Lepisosteus oculatus: one gene and its partner. The protein of the gene in region 1 interacts with the protein of each later gene in a pairwise test. Links are inferred from orthologs where the notes say so. Each region holds a gene or a part of one and is shown on either strand. Other genes may lie near its edges.

Evidence for each region. The genes of interacting proteins can lie anywhere in the genome.
Region 2: the proteins of osgn1 (region 1) and bcar3 interact in binary tests that used the Homo sapiens proteins (3 or more experiments, as listed by UniProt). The link is inferred for Lepisosteus oculatus from reciprocal best matches to the Homo sapiens genes OSGIN1 and BCAR3.

The regions. Positions count from the first base shown.
Region 1 is NC_090711.1:1,159,102-1,166,822, forward strand, and holds the start of osgn1 (oxidative stress induced growth inhibitor 1), read left to right. Parts: upstream 1-4,276; 5' UTR 4,277-4,451; coding exon 4,452-4,459; intron 4,460-6,374; coding exon 6,375-6,448; intron 6,449-7,096; coding exon 7,097-7,233; intron 7,234-7,721. UniProt on the Homo sapiens protein: Monooxygenase catalytic activity. Involved in regulation of cytokinesis; promotes RHOA activity, probably acting locally at the midbody in late cytokinesis.
Region 2 is NC_090704.1:27,726,338-27,734,145, forward strand, and holds the start of bcar3 (breast cancer anti-estrogen resistance protein 3), read left to right. Parts: upstream 1-4,467; 5' UTR 4,468-4,484; intron 4,485-4,658; 5' UTR 4,659-4,716; intron 4,717-7,808. UniProt on the Homo sapiens protein: Acts as an adapter protein downstream of several growth factor receptors to promote cell proliferation, migration, and redistribution of actin fibers.

The DNA.
Region 1 (7,721 bases):
TCCTCCTGCACCGAAGGGCGACTTGTCTGTGTTTCCCCAGGGTTAGGTTTCGAAAAGAAGAGCTAAAACATGCATAAAGATTTTGAAAACCTATTAATCAAGTTAATATCACTGTGCTACAAAGACTTTGCAGTGCCCTCACTTGAAATCAGCCCAGTCCATTGGCAGCTCTGTCTTGCTGCTGCCTCTGTAGGGCTGTGCTCGTGTAGAGAGAATAATAACTGCTTTATGTGAGGCAAACTGTCCTAGATAGCATGTAGAGTTATTTTTAGCGGATGGGTGACCTTGCAGCCTGCTGGTTCTATCTTAGAGAGGATAATAAACTGGTAACAAGAGGAATGCTAAACAATGCACTCTTGTTGGTGCACATTGGCACTCACTTTGATGCACGATACCACCCTCGCTGGTGCACATTAGCATCCTGAAGTGCCACTGACTGTTGTGCCCCTCATGCCTTGGCACGTATCCACTGCACTGCTGTAATGAGCGGTGTGGGTCTATGTGTGCCCCTCTAGAAACCATACATTCTACTTAGTAAATTGCAAGGGCATACGTATTGCAGATTAACTACCGGATTCTGCAGCCTTCTAATTTTATTTCCATTAACTTTTAGAGTTTCAATGTGCCATACAGTAGCACACACGTTACACACATAACAAGTAAAAACACAGGTAGGATGGATTAAAACACTCCTCTTTAGGGAAGTGAAGCTGAGCTGCATCAGGAAAACTCCTGTCAGTTCCTGGCAGGCAGCTCTTACTGCTCTGGGCTCAACAGTGAGGGGTGGAGATACCCCAGCCAGTGCAGCAGTGTGTGAAAGTGTAGGAGCTTGGGGGATCTGCACGTAGCAGCTGGGATTTGAACTGCCATGAACCGATGGAGTTCACAGAGTAGCAGCTGATGGTGAGTGAGGAGAGAGAGAGAGATGCCCCACCCCCCACCCCCCCTGCTGGAAACCAGTGCATTCTTCGGGGATAGCAAACTGTAATGTTGCATTGCCACTGTTTAAGTCACTTTGATCTTAATGGAAACTGCTGTAACACACACGGGCTGTGCTGTCTTGCAGGATCATTCAGCGCATGCATGATCCCACTATGTTTTAACACTGTTCTGGAACTGCCCTTCGCCTCTACTGCTTCACAGCTTGAGTGCCCCAGTCAGCAGATCTCTAGGTCTGGAGGGGGTGGGTGTGACTCCTCAGGCTGGACTTGTTCCCAGGTGTGAAGACATTTAGGATTTCGTGCCAGACTGGAGGATTGTAGACGCAGAGAAACTCTGCCCTGACTGTGCAAATAAAAACTGACCTTGTGCCTGTCATTGTAACAGTCTGTAGAAAATAAAACTGATGCATCAATCAACAGCTGTGATCTTCAAAACCAGTGCCTGGCTATTCACTCTCAGTGCTGAAGCAGGTTGGTGCTCCTCCCCCTGGACACTAGTGAGATGCACCTTGATCCCTCTGCCCCCTGCCCCAGAGCCAACCAGCAAACACAACCACCTCGCAGATCATCTCCCCCTGTGCTGGTCAACACTAGTGTTGTGTAACACTTAATTGCCATTTTAGATAAACCTGTATAAATGTTTCTTTTCATTTCACCTTTGTGGAACAGGGTGCCCTGAGTGAGCCGATATTCCCCACACCCCCCAGAGCTGTGGGTAGTTTTCCTCTTTTTCAGGATCTAAAACATCAAAGCGTTGAGCTTCAAAATATTTCTCTTCCAGTTCTTTTTGTACGATTTCCTCTCAGCAGGCCTTTTGTTAGATATTTCAAAGCACTGAGGTGAATGTTTACTCTTAGCAATATCGTAACCTTAGCAATTTTTTCATTTAGCGCCCTGTTGCCCACAGTGCCTACTTGTAAGAACAACTGCTTCTCCTGCAGCTTTACTGCAGCGCATCCACTAGCTCCTGGTACTTACTGCCCAGAACAAAGCACCGTCCTGTCAGGACTACGGATCGGTAGTTACTTGCGTGACTGTTAGCACAATGCCGGCTTCAGAAGGATTGCATGTAGATTCAAATCCGGCCGGATGAACTCTATAAACATTGAGCCTCAAGCTGACTTCCTTCCTTTGTGTTCACGTCTTTGTTAAAGCATCTTGTTATCTTTCTCTTTGAACTCTGCATGGCTGGGCTCCTGACTAGGCAGCATGAGACTTGTAAGTGCGCAGCGAGGGCTGAGTCCCGAGGACTGTGGGGACAAACTCCACAACCAAAGTGACCAAACAGAAAAGCAAATCTGAGGGATAGAGACAGAATAATAGTAGTTATAGAGCACCAAACCTCGACTGGGTCACCCGAGTTCTGCTACAGGTCTTTACAGTAAATCTTCTCCACTGGACAAACGTGACCCTGAGTCTTGCATCTTGGAGTCCAGCTCTGTCCTTGTCTGCAGGAGATCAAACACAGGAGCATGAGAACCAGCCCTGTGGCCACCTGTCACCTTACAGCAATGCAGGGACATGCCTGCTCTGCTGGGCCGGCCTCTTCTTCTGAGAGGGGTCAGAGGGAGACAGTGGTTGTGTGGAGCACAAAGTCACTCGCCGGCCGAGGGGAAAGCAGCACACCTGTTCCCCAGAGTGCCTCGGGAGGGGCGTTAGAGCAGATACAGGCTCAGGGACACCATGTCATCAGCACCTGGACACGGCTTGATCTGCTGGTTCTGCTTGATCTCCACCGCAGCCATGTGGAACCTGCCCTGACACCCATTTGGTGATTTGTAGTTGTTGTAGTGAATGTATATGCTTTGGCCACACTGTAACTCACCAGTCAAGCCAAAGCAGTTTGCACAAAATCAATAGAAATGAAAAAGATTAAGGCCTTAGGCGAATAAGGGCCCATTTGAATATATTTCCGATTAGCAGTTGGGTGCAGCGCCTGACTACAGTAACTAGAAGGTTCTTATTTCTAAAGCCCTCGACACCTTGCCCAGGTGTCCTTGTGGTAGCCACACCCCCCTGGAGACAAGGCAACCAGACTATTCCGCAGTTGCCATGGTGAAGGGCTGTTACTAAGTGACAGGGCCTGGGTCCCCTGTGACTTCCAGCCATGAGGGAGGGGAGGGGGTGATTAGGCTTCAAGCAAGCAGAACCGTTTGCTGCCTGCGGATGGAATTACACATCTTTCTGTGTGCGGGACCTAGAATTATCTTCTAGGATAACTGCCCGAGTTCTCCAAACGGCTTGGTGTGTCGCGGTCTCCGGAACTGCCCGGGGGGACGTCACGGGCCGGCCCGGCTCTCGCAGCGCCCCTGCCCGCTGACCCAGCTGGGGGAACGGGGTGTCGCCGTGCGTAAGCAGCACTGCACCCCTGGACACGCGGCCGTGCGGAGAGAGCAGCCTGGGACAACGGCCGCCGGTGATGTAACAGCTGCCACGCCGCAGTTTCCTGTGGTATACCACAGTAATGTGTGTGCTGTCACAGTAAAATCAGGGTAAAAATAAAAATACTGAGCATATACCTGCACATTTCTTTAAAGGCTCCAGACGTGTGTTCAACACCACAGAGAAAATGCCAAAGCCGACGGAGGTGTAGTAAAAGGAACATGCGAACCCTCAGAAATCGTGTCGGGTGTACCCCAGCAGTCTCACAGAGGCAGTGGAAAAACCCCATCCTGGGAAATTGCTAATCAGACACCTGCCCCTTAACAGGGTGAGGAAACTGAACCAAGACATATTTTTTTATTGCATGCAAGATTATGAAAATAATGATCAGAACTAAAGCAGAGGACTGAATTTAGGGCGCAGTCAGGGAGCACAGTGTCTCTGGTCTCCACACTGGGGCACCGGTTTAGAAATTCTGGTCCAAAGCAACTTGACTTAGACCATTAACCTAGTCTTCAATGCCAGGCCATAGGAGCGCGGCTGCCTGCTAAATAAAACTGCCTGAAGGAAACTGTTCATCTGGAGAATGATTGTCACAGTTGGTTCTTACAGAGACTGGAGTCGGTAAGTTCTGCAACGGCTTTAATTTGCAATATTTTAAATTTTAAAAAATTTTTTGCATTCCCTAATTCTCCGTGATGAAATACTCTCATGTAACCCTGTAACAGTCAGTTAGTGACACCTCGTATATAAAAAAAAAGTCTGCCTAATGAATAAATTAAATACATTAACACGGCAAGCGCAGCTGCACCTTCTAGAAAAAGATACGGTATGTTATACAAGCTTGGGCCATTACGTCACCTTCACACGGACCAATGAGAAGGCGCGGCGTTCCGGGGCAAGGGGCTCTGATTGGCCAGGGGAGGGGAGGAATGACGTCAGGAGAAGACGGCCCCACCCCCTGTGACCTAGAGCCCGAGCCGGGTGCTGCGCGTGGGGAGGAGAGTGCAGGGCTTTGCAGACACGCCGCTGTCGCGGGTGGGTGTGGGAGTCGGCCCTCTGGCTTTTAACCTGTGAAAGCGCCGAGACGGAATTCCGACCGGATTCATCCCGTGTTCGAAGTTAATAATGATGCGGTGAGTAATACAGTGTAACTCAATCCGTTTATTTCCTTCGCTATTTACGCTTTTATTTTTTTCTATTTGCGTGCAACGTCCTTCCTCCTGGCTAGATTTTTTTGTGTCGTTCGCTGCCAAAAGACGGCGGCCGGAGTTGAGCGATGTTCCCCTGTGGTCGGCGAAGAGAGACGTGCGCTTTGCGCTGCCGCTTCTCCTCTCGTTCTGCCGCCGAGAAGCGATTAACTTTCACCTTTGTCGGCGGATCCAGTCCCGTTATCTGTCTCTGCCCGTCTGCCCGCCGGGCTGGCCAGTAAGAAGCCCCATGCCCGCGGTGAAATGGTAGACGTTTGTTCGAAATAAAACCGTGCTCGGAATCACATCCGCCTCCGTGAGCCCACTGAAGGTCTTCTGAATGTTACAGCTCGCGTGGAGAGGCGTGTTTGTGTGCAACGAGACCCCCGGCCGGGCCCGCGCGGCTCGGGAGTGGGGGGCGCTCTGCGCGGCGTGGGCCGGAGCCGGTCAGGAGCCGGCCGGGGGGGCCGCCGTCTTGCTGGCGACTCCGCCATCGTGCCAGTTCAGCACGCAGGTCTGGTGGGTCGGCAGGGCTGACGAGGCGCCGGCCTTTGTGTCTGCCTGCTGCTCCGGGAGAAGTGTCCACGGAGGAGCGGTCGCCCTCACTGACCCGTGCTGTTACGACACGCACCGACAGCCCCACGATGGCCGGCTCGGAGCTGCCCCCTTAATCTCCGAGTGTCGAGTTGTGTCTATCAGCCCTGTGACCCGGTCACGTCCTGTAGCCTGCCGTATGAAACGTGAGCGTCGAGGAGAAACTCCCCCGTGTTTGGGTTTTTTTTTTGCAGTAGTAAAAGGGCTTCAGGGGGAGGGAGCTGAAAGAGCTGTAGGCCGCTGTCACCTGTGCACGGTCTTCCCCTGCCTGGGCTTCAGACCCAGAGCAGCTGGTGTGTACATCTCTCCCGAGCCCGGCGAGTCTGCCCCGTCCAGGCCCACCTCAGAGCACCCCCTGGACCGCAGAGCTGCTCTGAAGAGAGATCTGGGTCATTGGTGTATCACTTTTTTTTTTGTGCTTTGGACTTTGAAAAGGCTTTTTGTTCTTGGCGGGCCTGGCAGAGGTCTCAGGTCTCACCCTGAGAACCGGGGGGCAGGTTCAGAGCTGTGGTTTGTTCTTACCCACTGGAGGAGTTTTATCTGCCCCTACTGCTCTGCAGCACTTCTCGGGAATGGAAGGATCGCATGCAGGATGGTGAGCAGGCTGTGGATGGGGCAGACGTGCTGCCCTGAGGAGCTGGGCTCTGGCTGTGCGTGTCGGAGAGGGAATCGGGATACAGGACGGCCGCCCCTCGGCTGTTCCCCAGATCCCTCTGTTGCCTCGAGCTGAGCCTTCAGCCTTCCCGACAGCCCAGCTCAATCTCGGCTCGCCGGGCGGCTCCGTGATGAACTCTGGAGGCGCGGCGCTGTTGTGCTTTCACTCTGAACTTTGTGCCGAGTCACAGTTACTCGGCATGTGTGGGCACGTGCAGGGAAGAGGGTGTGTGTGTGTCATGTAACCGAGAGGCTGGGAGGGACTCCTGCCCACAGACTGGGGGTCGCTGGGGATGCCCTCGGCCGCTGCCCCCTGCCTCACAGGCCCGCCCTCTTTCCCAGGTGACCCTGGGGGGCGTGGTGTGCGCAGTGCAGGAGAGGGGGTGTTGAACTCCAGATGATGTCATGGCTTGTCCCCCCCGCCTGGCCTGGTGCGTGGCAGAAGCCCTGGGCCTCGGTTCGACAGGCTCCAGCCCTGTGCCCGGTTCACGGTGCCGGCACTGGTGCGGGGTGCCCCCTGGGAAGGTGTCTCTCCTGCGCGCGAGTCTCGGAGCTCTGTGTCTGCGTCGGTGAGGGCCGTGTGCTGACCCACTGCGTCTCGGTTCTGTTCCAGACCCTCGGCAGAGACGGCGGCCCTCCTGGACGGCCACGTTGTCCCCTCTGAAGTGCTCCCTGTGGTCATCATCGGTAAGACGGGGCCAGTGCACCTTCCTAGCCTCACCTGTGCTACGCAGTCCAGCTCCCACCTGTCTCTCCCCTGAGACCTCGCCGCTCAGGTGTCCTTGCTTTGTGTAGTGGGATTCCTTTAGAATAGACCAGTTTTGGAAACTTCTGGACTGAAATGGGATAGAGTATCCTGGTATCTGTGGAGGCTCTATACATCAGTTTAAATTATGTGCCAATTGATCCCATGCATAAAATCTTTACAGCAATTAAAAGCTTTCTTTGTGAAGTAGATCAACTTGAGGTTTTGAGCTGTTTTGCGCTGGCATTGTGGCTGCTGTGTTCTGGGCTTCTTTCACACTGCCTCTCTTTTGCTTTTGTTTATTGCTGGAGGCAGGTTTACATTCCACTGGCGCAGAACCAAAGAATTTGTTTAGCCGAGATGCGATAAGTATCTTGTTGAGAGAAATTCTTCCTGGGGAAGGAGCTGGTACACAGCTTCAGTTGTGCACAAAGCTGATTAGCTATGCAGATTTGGCAAAACACTTCATTCGGATTCTGTGCCACGGCCCTGTCTCGGGGAAGAAGACTGTCCCAGTTCTGCTGGGCTGAGAGACTGTCCCACGTACGCGGCCTTAACTCCCCTGTGTCTCTCCTACATGTGTGTTACAGGGAACGGCCCATCGGGGATCTGTCTGTCATACCTGCTGTCGGGGTACACTCCATATTTGGCTCCTGGGGGGATGCACCCCAACTCCTTCTTGCTGAGGAAGCTGGAGGAGCGGCCTGAGCTGTCGTTGCTGGACCAGGTGAGGACGGGGCGTCGCCGATCTCTCTCTCGCACCCCCTGCCCCCCGGATCTGCCCTGGAGGGGCAGTGTTTCTACCCCCGCCTCACCAGGGTTTATTCCCATGCGTCACTTCAAAATGTCACTTGGATCTTTCAGAGCCTTTACACACCTTGGCCCCTCTCATTGCTCCCTGTGAGCCCAGCAGGGCTCTGCCCCGGGGCTGAGCACCTTCTGATGGGGGTACGAGAGTCTCGGGGTGCTCGCTTGGAGCCGCCTCGCTCCCTGCTGCACTGAGACAGGGGGACTCTTTTCCGCACTCGAACTTATGTGTTTGATTAACGTCTGCCTTTTCTCCTCTATCCACGGCCTTTTTTTTCATTGCCATCGTCTTGAGTCTTCTTTATTTCCCTTCCAGTGTTATTCCTGTGTTATTTTTCTCTTCCTCTTGTGCGTTGTTGTTGTCGCCCTGCGAAGCGCCCCCTGACCGGAGCCCCGCTCCCCCTCTCT
Region 2 (7,808 bases), on another chromosome or scaffold:
AATTGGAGCATTTGTGTGTCACTGATGTCACTGCAGATACATAGGTAGATACATGGCAAAACACAGGAGAAAGCTCAGATGCAAGTTGTGTAGTGCCCCTCATGGACTCCTAGTCAGAGCTGACACTTGGCATGACCCAAGCTTTTAGTTCTTAAAAAGCAGCACTTCCCAAGTCTACACTTAAAGAAGAGGGTCTGATAGTGGTCCTTTTAGACTGTGCATCTGTAACCTTAAGATCCTTATGCACCCCAGAACCCTGTGGGCGCTCTTGATCACCCACTCCTGTAAACAAAAATATGTTAGAGACAATAGCGGTCTTGTTGTACATTTCAGAAGCCCTATTGTGCTTCTTTAAATAGACACTCCTGCACACATTAACACAATCGTCATGCCTGCTCTCCGTCATTATGTCTAGAACCAGGTTTGTCGTCAGCTGCTGTTACAAATTACCGAATGGACTAGTAAATATTTATAATTGCAATCACACACTACTGGAAAGCAAAGCAGGCAGCTGTCTTTCAAAGGACTGACTCATCCCTGCAAGTAGCTGTCTCACACTGACTTCCAAGATCAAACGGGAAATCAGAAACTCTCTGCCAAAGAAAAAAGCTGATCTTGTAAAAAAAGAACAGTATGCATCCAATTTGCCAGTATCTTATCTATTAAGAATCTCCAAACCACTACATTCTCAAGTTTTCAAGTTTCAAGTTTCAAGTTTATTGTCATTACACTTATATACATAGTTTATGGTATAACGAAATGCTATTTAGGTAGCTCTCGGACATAAGTAGTACAAAGAGAAAAAACAACAACAACAACAACAATACAATTGTGTAGCAAAATAAAGACAGAGACAACAGCCAGTGTGCAAAAAACAACAACAGACGATGTGCAAAAAACCAACAACAGGCAATGTGCAAAAAACAACAGGCAATGTGCAAAACAACAAAAAGGTAACAGGTTATGTGCAAAAATGTCTGCATGTTTACTTACATTCAAACTGTTTGCATGTTTACTTACATTCAGACTGTCTGCATGTTTACTTGCACATTGTCTATTGTTTGTTTGTACATTGTCTTGATGCACTCTTTGCACTTTGTTTTGTTTTTTACACTTGTTTTACAAACGAGAGACTTTCTGTAAGTAAGAATTCCATTGTACCAGTACCGGTTACATATGGCAATAAAGTTCAAGTTCAAGTTCAAGTTCATATGCATCAACAGAATAAAATAAAGGGATAGAAATTATGGGGAGTGAGCTTTTGACATGTATGGTAGAGGAAGATTTTCAATGTGTGTTTGGGTTTTTGGTAAGAAAGAAAGGAAGGAAGAAGGCACTGTGAGGTTCAGATCATAGGTGAGAGGTGAGGTGAGAGTGAGAGAGGCTGGGAATTTAACAGTTTGATAGTGCGGGGGTAAAAACTGTCTCTGAGTCTGGTAGTCCGGGCCCGAATGCTCAGGTACCGTTTTCCAGATGGTAGCAGATCATAAAGTCTGTAGCTGGGGTGTGTGGGGTCTTTGATTATGCTTAGAGCTTTCCTCAAGCACCGTCTGTCATAAATGTCCTGGATAGATGGGAGGGTAACCCCAGTGATGGACTGGGCAGTTTTCACCACCCGCTGTAGGGCTTTGCGGTCAGCAGCACTGCAGTTGCCATACCACACTGTGATGCAGCCTGTCAGTGTGCTTTCTGTAGTGCATCTGTTGCGCTTTCTTGATCGGACAGGTGGTGTTGAGAGACCATGTGAGGTCCTCGGTGATATGGACACCAAGGAATTTAAAGTTACTGACCCTTTCCATTTCAGTCCCGTTGATGTGGATAGGGGCATGTCCGGTTTGCAGTTTCCTGAAATCAACAATCAGCTTCTTGGTTTTGCTGACGTTGAGGGTGAGGTTGTTGTCATCACACCATGTTGTAAGGAGATTGACCTCCTCCCTGTAGGCCTCCCTGTAGGCTTATTAATTGAATAAGAGGAAAGAATAAGAATTCTTTCTTCTTATTCAATTTTGAAGCAGCTTAATTCCTATCTGAAAGTGTGTGGGCCAAGGCAGGGAGTTACTGTAGGGGTGTAGGTGGGGTGGCAGGAGAAGTAAGAGATGTGTGACGTATATCCATTGGCAAACCTAAGAGTGCAAGATTTTCTTCCTCCCGATTTTCTGTTACAAACTCCATTAAAAAAAAGCTAATGAAAGGAAAAAACTTCAAATTAATGTGCCCTTCCACTCACCTTTTATCCTTGTAAATACACTTTGTTGGTACAGGCATATAGCACTGCCGTAGTATACTGTAAACTAACAAAGCACGGCACTTGTGCCAGAGTTATTTCTCTACACATGACTCTAGGCAGTAGGTAGAAAACAACTGCACCCAGTGAAGAGAAAATGAAAAGTATTTTTTTTAGAATAAACTGGTTTATTCCCAATTTATGGGTTGGTTCACCTCCTCCTCTCCAGCTCCCTGCTGGTCCCCATGGCAAGTCACTAAGGCAGAGAGATGAAAGGCCAAACACAGTAAGCTAAGCATCATAAAACATGCATTTAATTAAACTTCAGTTTCTTGCTTGATATGTATTAAGAAGATGCTTTCCCTGCTCTCTTTAAAGCTATCCAAATGCAAAATGAGATACCTTTAGTAAGCTGCATGGTAGTCAGACAGCACAAAATAAATCAGCTTACTGTTTTGTCTCAAATGTTCCAAGTATAACCTCACCATTAACCTATTAAATGATTGATGTTTAATTCCCTTTAAGCATTTTTGTGTTATCTTTCAGTACTTGTTGGCTTCCATTATTCCTGCACAAAAAAATAAAACTAAAAAAATAAAAGAGATGTCACTGATCTCTCTAATGGGGAAAAGAGGTGTGTGTGAGAGCTCTTTCCTCCAGGCGTTGAAAAAATAGAAATTGGAAACGAACAGGGTTCCAGGTATGGTAAGAGAATAACTCCACACTGGGGATGTGTTTGGAGCTGAACAGGTATTTAGCAGTGTCCTGGCTTTCTGGTTAAAGTCTGCACTAAAAAGGAGTAAATGTGAAAATTAAAACAAATAAATCATCTCATTAATATATTGATAAATATTTTTTTCAAAGTGCAGTCTTTTCCCCCCTCACTTGATTAAATATAATACACCATACGTGCTCAATGTACAATTTATCAATGTTATGTGTGGACTGCCTCTTTTCACATATTATCATATATAACTTACAGCATTTCAAAGTAGCTTTCTATGCTTTAAAAAAACATTTCCCTCAGAAGACAATAAGACAGATGATTTGCAAAAAAGTCTCTTAAGTGGCTCTTACATTAACTTCTGGAGAAAGCCTGACCACAGTGCTTGAAGAATCATGCGAAATGGAGTCTGTCAAGAAACAAAAGGAAAGAATAATCCAAGATCATCTCTTACCCACAGCTCTTAACAGCAGCTAAAAAATAAGACCTGGTTATCTTTGACTATTTTCCTTGGAAAGAGTTCAATTATCTAAGAGTCTGTAGTGTTGCAAAATCGCATCTTCTGGTATGAAGGAGGACTTTGGGTCAGAAGAGGTGAAGGTAGAATCTAGTTCAGATTCCAAGATTACGTTTTCCACTGTTTCATGATTGAAACATAGTGAGCTATTGGGGAGTGTGCTATAAAACAACATTTTTTAAAAAATTGAACCGCCCATTGTTTTCTTTACATAATGTGTAATCTAAATGTTAATCAACTTACCTTCCTGCCACCCCACTTGAACCAACAGTAATGACTATGCACACTTTTCCTAGGACCATGTTCTTCCTGGTGCAGGGAATGAACACTACAGTTCCTATAGGAGTGGAAACACACGGAAAATACTCCTAGAAGCGATCAACTTCAACGGAGAGCAGATGTAACCCAACTATTGGACCTTGATTAATTCCAGCACATTCATGCTCATTGGTCAATGTAGAAAGCAGTCAGATTTACTCAGAAAAAAAACATTTAAGAAAATGAAAAATCACTCAGCCAAAGGGTTAACAGAAGAGACAATCTATTTTTCAAACTCCGTGGTGGGGCAGCCAGCAGCCCTGAAATCCCCTCTAAATGACCTGATTCCAATTAATTTCCTCAGAACTGGGCTTAGAGGCTGTAGATACAGCATTTTTTTCCAACGCTAATTTTCTTTTCCTTGTTATCCTTGCAGCGTTAATGAAAGGAAGAGTCTTACAGCGGCTTAGTTCAAGGGGAGGGCGAGGTCTGGAGTTTGCTTGGAGATAAAGCCCATGACCTTGGTTATAAAAATTGACTGCCTCGTTTAACACATCCCAGCTGCTGCAGCGGCAGGTTGGCAGCAGTATGAGAGGAATGTGCGGAGTCCGGGAGCAAGTTGCAGCACTCCCCAAGAGGAGGGGGGCTGAAGAAGCAGAGTGTGTGGAGTGTTTTTCTCCTGACAGAGCGGAGCGAGGAGGAGGCAGAGCTGCCCCCCCCCCGCCCTTCCCCTTCTTGATTGGTGAAGAGCACGTCTCAAGGTGTGTCTTCTGCCCACTGGGATCCTACAGCCACTGCGGCTGCTGGGAGGCTTTCCCTTGACAGCCAGTCAGTCTCCACGACACAAATTCAGAGGGTCCGATGGACTAACGTGGGGAATTTACTGAACACTGTGCACTTATGAAGTTCTTTGTATTGTTTCTTGTTTCATACAGACTTTGCTGGAAAGGGAAAGAAAGAGGCAAACACTAAACTTCTTTCGCAACAAACAGGGTAAGTTTTCTTCATCCTATCATACTATGTCTCTTTTTCAAATTTGCGAGTTTGCATGACCATTTCTAATCCAGAACCAACCTGCTGCCTAAATTGTGCTGTATACCTTAGTTTATAGGAGCAGCAGTAAAAAAGCAAATTCCAGCAGATTTCTAGTCAATATAAGATTATTCATGAAGGTTTCAGTGCTTTCCTATAGATAAACAATTTAACACACAAAGCAAAACTGTTTATGATAAACTGACAGTGTGGTTGATTACATTCCTGCTGCACTTGTCTTAAACTAGCTGTAAAGAATTGGGGTGTATTTATTTCACACAACCACTTTGCGAGCTTCATCTTAAGGCAACACCAGGATGCAGAGGGGAGGTTCAAGTATAATCTGCAAGCCATGGACCATAATTAGTAAATGTGACATTCAGTTTACCACTGTTCCAATCACGATATGAAAAAGAACTGCTCCATGAGGTCTTTAAACATACTCAATGAAAATACAGTAGAATATTTTCCTATTAACTACAGCAGAGGCATCTTCTCTTGGAGAAAGCTGAGGCTTACCCTTCTCTTTCACCTGCTCCTACAGTACCTGCAATTGCTACTTATGAGCCCCAGTGGCATCCACGATCTGAGAAGCCGAGCAGTGGTATCACTTGCAGTGATTGGCAATGTTGGCAGTGCCCACATCTGTGATCTCGAAACAGGACCAACGCCTCAATTATGTTGTGCTATGCACCCTCCGTGTGGTGCATAAGAGTTTGCAGGAGCCACTACTTTTCCAGGGATTCCCGTGCTTTTGGATTACAAATAGCAGGGTTGCAAGTTTCTTTCTGCAACCATAAACACAAGAATTCCTGCGTGTGCGGTGAAGTAATTAACGTTTTGGGCACAGTTTTTTAGTATGAGGCAGGGACCTGAGCACTTACTCTATTAACGAGTCACATGGCTGCACTTCACCATGTGCCTTTAATGTGGTTTTTTTCATCACTCACACATGGAGAGGGCTGCAAGCCTGGTGGCATGCTTCAAAGCAAGACAGGATGTATTTCACAAAAGCCAAGGAGACTTCATTTTCATTCTCTGTGGTCTTGGATATACTTAGTATAGATGTACTCTTTTCTAGAGAAAACCTGAAAATGAAGATATTTCGCACTATGTGACGTTTTAAGCTTTGTGGGATTCTTATCAGAGTAGCTAATCAAACTGCTGTGTGATTTTCTAGTTGTTCAGAGTGTCATGGCGCAACTGAACAAGATAAGGAATTTTAAAAGATGACAAGTGATTTCAAAAAGTCATGCTTGATTATTACTTGTTTAACAAAGAAAGCATCCTCATTAGAACCCTGCACTCAAATCTTATGGAAATCTGAATTAAGTTGTTTGGTCAAACCCTAATTAAGGAGGATAAGTGGTATCTAGATTTCTGTTGGGGTTACTCCCCTGGCTGAGGTTAACAACAACCTATCAGTTGGAACCTCTTCCTTCTTTAATGAGGAATAAGACAGGGAGCTGCTTCAGGGGTAAAGATGGGATGTAGGAAGGGTTGAGAAAAGTGAGTGAGTAGAGAAAAAGCATGATGCTTATAAACAGGTAGAAGTGTCACGATATTAGTTCCCCCTCCTTAAGGGTGCTCCAGCCCTATCACTCTAGACTTTATTCCATGCACCTGCGCCCTATTCCCTGCCTACCTTAAAAGCCAGGCGCTGACGCTCTTCCGGGCTCTGCATCTGATTTCCATATCGTGCGAGTCCGGGACCAGGAAGCGCCTGGTCCCGTTAAGGTTTTAACCCCTGTTCCTTGTCCCCTGTCCGCCGGTTCCGACCCGGCCTTCGTGGTTTTTAATTCCGTGTTCTGATGGATCTTCTGGTTTTGGACTTACCTTCGTGTTTTGGATACTCTATGGATTACTCTCGGATTGTTCGCCTCGGCCATACCTCCCCCGTGCACCAGCGCACTTTGGACACGCCCCCTTGTCTTCAGCCCCGTTTTCCTGCATGACGTTTCCCTAGTGTTTCCCCACTCCGTCGGACTGTGTCGTCCGCATAGGGTCCGGAAAGAACTGTTCGTTACAAGAAGTGGGTGAGATTAGGGTTTGACCTTCTCCTGAGTGAAGTGTTCATCTGCAATTGCATCAAAGGGACTGGAAATCCAAAAGGCAAACATCATATATACTGACATGCTATCAGAGATGTTCGACAATGGGATGAAAATTTGTCAAATTTTGAATTAGAAAAAAAAGGCACAGTGCTTGGACAGCTGTTCAATGCATGCAGCTGTTGCTGCTTTGTTATGTGAATTCAGGATGTTGTAATGAATACAAGAAGAAAACAGTAAAAAAGTAAAATGTAATAAGCGATACAAGTTTTATTGACACAACACCCTCAAAGACATTCAAAATTGTCTTAACAAACATTGATTTTACATTTCAATTCTAGTATAACTTTTCAGAATTATAAAGTATAAACTATCACTATCCAGGATAACAATAACTACTCAAAAACTCATTAGAATCCTGCACTCAAATCTTTTGGAACATTGTAGAAGATTGAATGAAGTAGAAGATTGTTTTAAGTAACATATTAGCCTAAATGCATGAAGTTGTTTGAAACTGTCTTGAAAACATTAACGCTAGAATTCCATTAAACATCCTATTTTCCATTAAGCAATCAATAGGACACTTTAAGTATAAATTACAGCCATAGGTAACTCTGGAAGAAACCATTTTAATGCATCTTGCCCTGATTTAGATGGGACATTTGGGTTCTCTGTTTCTTTAGGATGTACAAACAGAAACACATTTTTCAACTCATGCAGTTTTAATAACACAGTGAGCCTCTACTTGTTCTGCTTAAGCTATATTCAACAGGCTCAGTGCCAAGGGGAATTCGAGTTAATTCAAAATCATAGTGATTTTGAGAGGAAATTTGCAAGATATCTTTCTTTGATTCCCTTCCTTGGAGAAAATCATGAAATTTCTGTAATTACAGAATGAAAAATTCTTCTCTAGTTTCCAAAGCTACTCAGTTTCATTATTTAGTGCCATTTCTGGCTCACATATGGCATAATGTCTGAATCACAAATGTCATAATTGAATAG